2 linked regions of the Rattus norvegicus genome follow. The protein of the gene in region 1 purifies or fractionates together with the protein of each later gene. This does not show direct contact. Links are inferred from orthologs where the notes say so. Each region holds a gene or a part of one and is shown on either strand. Other genes may lie near its edges.

Region 1 (4,252 bases):
AGCGCTCTACCACTGAGCTAAATCCCCAACCCCCTGAAGTACCTATTTTACACAAGGGGAAAGAAAACAGACTGAAATCATTTAAATTAGTAACTAGTAAGTTGAATTAAAACCACACCTGCCTGTATTCACAGCTCAGGACTCTATTTTCAAATTTTATTTAGCATTTATTAGTTTATCTATATGAAAAATTTTCCCCCCGCACATGTGTTCTTGCAAGTGTGTGTCTGGCGTCCTCGGGAGGAAGGCAAGGGCATCAGACTGTAACAGCTGATTTAAGCCACTACGCTGATTAGTATAACTTCTATGTTAACATTGTTACAAAATAAATGCCCTAGAATCTGTACAGTTTATCCTTTTACTTATGTAAACGAGTGTTCTATCTGCATGTACACCTGCATACTAGAAGAGGGCATCAGTTTAGTTGATTGTGAGCCACCATGAGGTTGCTGGGATTTGAACTCAGGACCTGTGGAAGAGCTGTCAATGCTCTTAACTACTGCACCATCTCTCCAGCCTCAGCTTATTTTGAAAATTTTGCTTATTTTTTTTTATTTATATGGGTGTTTTGCCTGCCTGCCTGCATAACCTGGTGCCTGTAGATGCCAGAAGAGGGATCTGTCTCCCTGGAACTGGAGTTACAGCCAGTTTTTTTTTTTTCTCCTTCGGAGCTGGGGATCGAACCTAGATGCCTTGCGCTTGCTAGGCAAGCGCTCTACCACTGAGCTAAATCCCCAACCCCAGCCAGTTTTGAAATACAGCGTACATGCTGGGAACTTTGCAAACCAAGGTCCACTTAAAGTACGGCTATGACTCTGTTCTTGAAGTGATGGACTCAAGAACATACCAGTCTACCTGGTTTTCAAAAGACCTGGTCTTTAGCCCGAGATGACTGCAGTTCCGAGGACGATCCACTAGAGGAGGCAGCGCCAAGACAACCGTGCCTCTCTTTCCCACTCTCACCTCGTTTGTCAGCCTAGGAGAAAAATCCCGCCTCCTGACCCATAAGGCCACGGGGCCGGAAGTCCCACTCTCTCTTCCTGTTCTCCACCATGGCGGTGAGTAGAGCAAGAGTTGCTTTTGCCTCTCTTTCATCCATCTCCATCCGCGGCCGGCGGAGCCCACGAGGGCTGTTTCGCCGGTGGCTGGAGGAGGACGGAGCCCGCGATGCTGGTGGCATTAAGACCGGCAGGGCTGTGCGGGCGCAGGGCTCGCCCGTCACGTCGCCGCCCATCGTAGGAATGGGGCTCAGGTCAGCGGCCCCGAGGGCCCAGACGCGGGGTCTGGGGGCTTCCGGGAGCGCGAGCGGAATGTGCCGAGCTCTCTGTCGGGTCCCAGCCCAGGGGACTTGAAGCTTGTTTGGTGCTGGGGAGCATCTGCGGGTCCCTACTCAGGACTGGTGCTCGCTTGCAGACAGCTTGGGAAGGAGGAGGGCAGGTCGCGTAGGCCGATGTTTCCTGTAGTTTGTCATTTTAAGGTTACATTGTATTCTCTCCTGTCTGATTGGCTTTCTATAAGCTCTTGTGTCTATTACCCAGAAACATCGACCGCCTTAGCATTCAGGCTTACTCAGTGCTCCTCCGCCCCAAACACTGAGACCTTTTTAGTCCTTAGTCCATAGGATTCGGGACCGTAGAGATCAGACTGGAGAAGACATTGGCTTCTCGACTTTGACGGCTGCGTTTACTCTTTTCTGCAGCAAGATCAGGGTGAAAAGGAGAACCCCATGCGGGAACTTCGTATCCGCAAGCTCTGCCTCAATATCTGCGTGGGGGAGAGTGGAGACAGACTGACCCGAGCAGCCAAGGTGTTGGAGCAGCTCACAGGCCAGACCCCTGTGTTTTCCAAAGGTGAGTGGTGATGGGCTAGCCAGAGAGGCGTGGATGGAAGGCCTCAGTCCATCTAGCCGGAACAGGAGTGCGAATAGGGAGCTAGAGTAGACGTGTAGTATTCCGCCTGGTTGACAGGTAAGAACAGGGTTAATACATTACACTGCTGGGGTGAGAGACTATCCGTTCTTATTCTTAATATTCATGTTCGTATCTGAGTACTCTGTTTGCTTGACAGAAGAGGGCGTGAGATGTTGTTATAGATGGTTGTGAACCACCATGTGGGTGCTGCTGGGATTTGAACTCAGGACCTCTTTAAACCACTGAGCCACCTCTCCAGCCCCCTATCAGTGCTTCTTAACTTTAGGCTCTACCTCAGCTTCCTTAAAATGAATTCTGATTCCCTTGTGTGGCCACATGGGAGGTGTTAATGTGCTTGAAACATGGGGTCTGTTGGGAGTGTGGTTATAGGTGGTCTGTTGTTGGGATTGGATACCCTTTCTTAGTACCACCGGTGAGCCTGGGCTAGTTAGCCTCAGGACATCTGGACAGTCGGCCTTTTGAAAATACTAGCTTTTACCAATGTCAACCTCCCAGCTTGTCCCTTCCACACCCCATTCTGGATTTTGAATGCAGGTTCCTGTATGATAGAGCATAATGTTAAGCTAGGCCTGGTAGCCTATGATTGTAACTCCTGTACCCGGACTGAAACAGGAAGATTGCTCCCAGGTCAAGGCCAGCCTGGGCTACATTTGACATTCTCAAGGAGTATTAACGGTGCTAACCTTTGTCTCTGACTTGCCTAATGTCATGAACTCTGGGGATTGTAATGTTCTTAGCTGAAGTGCGGCTGGGGACATTAGAGCTGGAAAGCTCTGTTCTGTGTTGGTGGGTGAGGTTGATTAACACGTTAGATGCCGGGCAGTGGGAGTAAAATGTTACCTACCTCTCTGTTCCCTTCTTGCAGCTAGATACACCGTCAGGTCCTTTGGCATCCGGAGAAATGAGAAAATCGCTGTTCACTGCACTGTCCGTGGAGCCAAGGCAGAGGAGATTCTGGAGAAAGGCCTGAAGGTGAGGTGGGCTGGCCTGGAAGTGGGGAACATTTGATGGATGATGAGAGATGATTTGGTTTAAGGGAAGGGTTGCCTGTTCTCCTGGCTGGGATGCACAGAGTTTTGGTTTTGCTCCGGACCTTCTGGGTGTTGGTCTGAGCTCATACTATGCTCTTTAAACACAAGGAATAACCTGGTTGCTCTTTATGTCTCCTCAGGTGCGAGAGTACGAATTACGGAAGAATAACTTCTCAGATACCGGCAACTTTGGCTTTGGGATTCAGGAACACATTGACCTAGGCATCAAATATGACCCAAGCATTGGCATCTATGGCCTGGATTTCTATGTGGTATGTGGAATGTGGACTTCTTGATCCCAAGCTGCCTGTGGGGAGAGGGCCTGCTGCTCCTCTGTCTGTTGTCCGCACATGCTGTCTTGCTGTTGGGATGTAGTGCTGGGTTGAAGTCTGTGTCTTGTCTGCCTGTGTGTCCCCCTTGAGAGAAGGGCCTTGTTCTAGCAAGTGTACAGGTTCAACCACACAGGGTTGACAGGTCTCTGCTGTGCAAAGCTCTCTGGGAGAAACCTGTGCTGCCTTTGTCCCTGGCATTGGCTACCCTGTCTCCACTCATCCCTAGTCTCTGGCACACGTGAGTTCTGTGGGGAAGACATGGAAACAGACTGTGCTCAAGTGGGGTTTTCATGTGGAAATGACTCTGTTACCACAGTGCTTCTGTGAGAGCAAAGAGCCAGACGTAAAAGTGAGACCTGAGGGGGAGGTCGGTTAGGGCGGCAGAGCTCTGGGCAGCTTCTGAACCAAGGGGGTGAGTGTGCCTTTGTGCCTTTGGGTGCTTTACATTTCTTCACATTACACATGTTGAAGGTTTTTGTTGTGAGGCAGGGTCTTTGGTTTACAGCCCAGGCTGGCCTTGAACTCCCTGCATGTTAGTATTACATGTGTGTCTGGTGCCTAGAGGCCAGAACAGGTCAAGGGAATCAGATCCCTCTTGAGACTGACGTTACAAGGCTGGAGACCAGTTGGGGAAGGAGCCTGCAGGGCATGTGTGTTCAGAGCTTGGTGTGTTGTCCGGGTAGCTAACGACACTTCCGTCCAACAGAGGTACTGGTCTTGCTTCAGAATCTGTTAAGTTTCTGGATGACTTGAAGATCGGTCTCTAATGTGTGAGTCTTGTCTGTCCACTGGTGACCCGGCCCTAGGCTGGCTAGATGACTGTTGGTTATTCTGGCACAGGTGCTGGGTAGGCCAGGTTTCAGCATCGCAGACAAGAAGCGCAGAACAGGCTGCATTGGGGCCAAACACAGAATCAGCAAAGAGGAGGCCATGCGCTGGTTCCAGCAGAAGGTAAAGC
Region 2 (3,646 bases), about 11 Mb from region 1:
ATTAATTTCTCTCATGGCTAAAAGGAATTGCTTGTTTTATAAGATGCATTTTAGTTTCAGATAACATTCTCCCTAATTTAGGTAACGTTTTTATTAAATGCACATGGAAACGCTTCAGATGAAAAACATCTAGCAAAAGTCCAAAATAATAGGTTAGATGTGATAAAGGGAACCCGATCCTAACTAGAACTTGATGCGCTGTGGAGGAGTTACAGGCGTGGCAATTCTTGAAGCAGGATAAAAGTCGGAGTTGGAGTTAGGATCTACCTCATTGGAGAATGTTACAGGCTGCAGACTCTCTCCTTTAAAACAAAACAACACACACCTTTCTCTCTTAGCACAGGGCCCTGGGTAAGCCCAGCTAGGGGGCTCATGAGTGGTGGAGCAGTCACAAGCCTTCCTAGGACCTTTAGGTGGCCTCATTTACTGGGACTCCCTGAGCCCATGGCTTATATTTTCTTGCTAGTTTCTAACTGAGCAAATGTCCATCCACAAGGAAAACTGTATTTTCTGTGGCAATGGGTTCTGAAATCAATGAGTAAAAATCAACTATGACTGGGCTGGAGAGATGGCTCAGTGGGTAAAGACCCAGCTTAATCCCTGAAAGCCATGTTAAAAAAACTACACAAAAAGATGCAGTGGTGTGAATCTGTATCCCAGGAGATGAAGAGTGGGGACAAATGATACACAACCATATCAATTATACAAATCAAGGGTGAGCATATATTATCCTCAGAAATCTTCTAACTGGGCTGGAGAGAGAGCTCAACAATCAAGGACATATATTGCTCTTCCAGAGGACCTGAGTTCAATTTCCAGTACTTAAATCGCTGGGATCACAGCTGCCTGTAACAGCTCCAAACCAGGGGATCTGAAATCTCTAGCCTCCAAGGGCACTCGTACTCACATGCACAAACACATCACACACACACACACACACACACACACACACACACACACACACACACACTAAAAATCAAACCTTCAAAAAAACCTTGTAACCTATGCAACACATGGTTTTGAACCGATAAGTTTACTTTCTGTAATACTACACAATTAAAATGCACACACAAAGTTAAACTATTTTTACTCCATTCCTACAGAAATGCATTTAACACACAGAACTGAATGTGTAAAAGAACATATCTGATTTGAGTCCCCTGTGCAGAACCATTTCAGAACTAGAGTCCATACCATACCATGCCAGTCACTGGATTAAAATAAAGGGTTTTCAAAGCCAAAGCAGAAAGCCCACCAATTATTCTGAGTATTTTCCTGCATCAAAACACAAGCTGACTCCCAAACTGAGGGTTCCCTCACTTCACACATCAGATATCTGAGCAGCCAACAACTGGCGCAAGCAACAAAGCAATAAATCCACAACAGAACTCTGTTCTTCCCAGAAACGGACTCAAGGGTTGGTTAGAAGATGGCTTTAGGGAGAAGAGACAAAGAGAACAAGGGAAATGAGCAACTTGTCTGTGGCCCATGAATTACACTCATCTGTCTCCCTGAAAGGAAACAGTCACTCACTAATAGGTGCCATTCTTCAAGCCCATCATAAAACAGAACATAATTGACAAAACCTGAGGCAATAGGCAGCTTTGCTTTTGATTTTTGTTCTGCGAGTAAACACTTTTCTTTGAACTGTTTAATCCTTGTATGCATGTCAGTGTTTCCCTCCCCTCCTCGGACTGGCACTGAAGCATGTGCACTGGCTGGGTTTCTGGGAATTATTATTCAATGCAAATTTAAAATGTGCAGGCGAACGTTAAGCCACTCCTTTGTTCCGTGTGAAGTGCTTCTGCTCTGGCCAGAGTCAGCCCTTACTGTACTACAACTCCAGCAACCAACAATCGCACCAGCACCCTTTCCTGTACCTGGAAACCTCCAAGTTCAGAGTTCAGAAAACTCTGAAGGACTCCTTCCATCTCAGCCTTCACTCTACACCTCCCGGAGATGACGAACCAGCACCGACAACCCCAGGCGCTTCCTAGTCAGCCTGGCCTACTTATTAAGTTCTAGGCCAGCGAGAGAACCTGCCTCAGGAAGGGAAGGGAAAAGGGAAGGGAAGGGAAAAGGGAAGGGAAGGGAAGGGGAAAGGGAAGGGAAGGGAAAAGGGAAGGAAAAAGGGAAAAGGGAAAAGGGAAAAGGGAAGGGAAGGGAAGGAAGATAGTACCTGAGGAATGACAGTCAAGGTCTTCCTCTGGCCTCTACTTGTGTGTGGAGACACACACACACGCACACACTCACACACACGACAGTAGTTAACAGCTATCACCTCTTTAGCCATGGGCAGGATGTTGCAGGCTTCTGAGACCAAGCCCTTACAGGTGCTTCAGCTGTATGCAGACATGAGAAGAGGCAAGAGTGTTCTCTTTACAGCAAGGAAGCTAAGATTCATGGCAAGTCATAACTAAGAACAGAGAAGGGCTGAGTGAAGATGGAAAGTCCTGTTTGGATCCACACAGCGCTACACTGCACCTCCTGGACCAAACTCAATTCACAGCCAGGGTGACAAAGGAGAGCACCTAAAGCTAACAAAACCTTCAGTGCTGCTTAGGAAACAACCACAAACTAAAGCAGTGTCTGTCTGCCCAGAGCTGGCCAAGACACCGCAGCACCAACAGGGCGCGCTGTCTTACATGAGGCTGGACTCGATCGTGCAGAAGAGACATCGGTAATTTGCTTTGTTTCATCACAACTTTGTATGGATCCTTCATAACTTTATCCATTTCCTCTTGAAATTTTTGTAATGATGCCTGCTTGATCACACGAGTATTTCCTGTGTCACAGATAGAGAACATGCCATTTAGTACAGAGATTGGTTTTGCCCCTCGCTCACCTTTTGACAGGGGAAGGCAAGACACCAGGTCATTCTCAAGTCCCCCAGAGTCTACACATTCATCACTCCTTAGAACTCTCTGCAAACTTAAGGAGGAAACATGTCTCTCCTGCACTCACACACTGTGTATTCAAACACCAACTAAGACATAATGGGTTTCAACAGTTTTCAGAACCCAACTTCCTGACTGGATGAAACCAAAAATTAAACATCACTGAATGGAACCAAGATTTGACAAATGTTCCTGCCAGTCCTGGCAAAGAAACCTGGCGCCAATCCCAGCTCATCGGTTCACACAGAGAAGGAACCCCAAACCTCAGAGTTAAGAGGGCTTGAAGGGACTACTAAAGCATCCAAGACACATGCAAGAAGGCAAAAGCACCCAGAGAACGCTAGACCCTTGGATGCTGAAGACAGCATTCAAGTCAACAACAGCAGATGCAGACACAAGGGTCAAGGACTCAACACTCTCTACTTGCTGGGCACTCTGCTAAGCCCGTCACATGGATTTCTTTTTAAATTTATGACGGGGGCACCACAGCACCTGTGTGGAGCTCAGAGGACAGCCTGCAGGAGTCATTATCCCCTTTCCGCCTTCTACTCTGTAGGGTCCAGAGATAGAACCTAGGTTGTCAGGCTTGAGAGGAATGATCTCACCACTGAGCCTCCATACTGATCCTCGGTTTTTTGTTTGTTTTTGAGACAGAATTCCAAGCTGTCCAGGCTGGCCTTAAACTTCTGAGTCTCCTGCCTCCAACTCACAGGTGTTAGGATCACAGGTGTGCCCTCACCACAACCATC

Evidence for each region. The genes of interacting proteins can lie anywhere in the genome.
Region 2: the proteins of Rpl11 (region 1) and Gnl2 purify together in Homo sapiens (co-immunoprecipitation; 3 studies listed by BioGRID and IntAct, with this or other methods). This does not show direct contact. The link is inferred for Rattus norvegicus from reciprocal best matches to the Homo sapiens genes RPL11 and GNL2.

The regions. Positions count from the first base shown.
Region 1 is NC_086023.1:153,557,908-153,562,159, reverse strand, and holds the start of Rpl11 (large ribosomal subunit protein uL5), read left to right. Parts: upstream 1-1,357; 5' UTR 1,358-1,699; coding exon of another isoform or gene 1,700-1,726; coding exon 1,727-1,850; intron 1,851-2,796; coding exon 2,797-2,903; intron 2,904-3,102; coding exon 3,103-3,234; intron 3,235-4,134; coding exon 4,135-4,245; intron 4,246-4,252.
Region 2 is NC_086023.1:142,584,188-142,587,833, reverse strand, and holds part of Gnl2 (nucleolar GTP-binding protein 2), read right to left. Parts: intron 2,786-3,646; coding exon 2,646-2,785; intron 1-2,645. UniProt on the Homo sapiens protein: GTPase that associates with pre-60S ribosomal subunits in the nucleolus and is required for their nuclear export and maturation.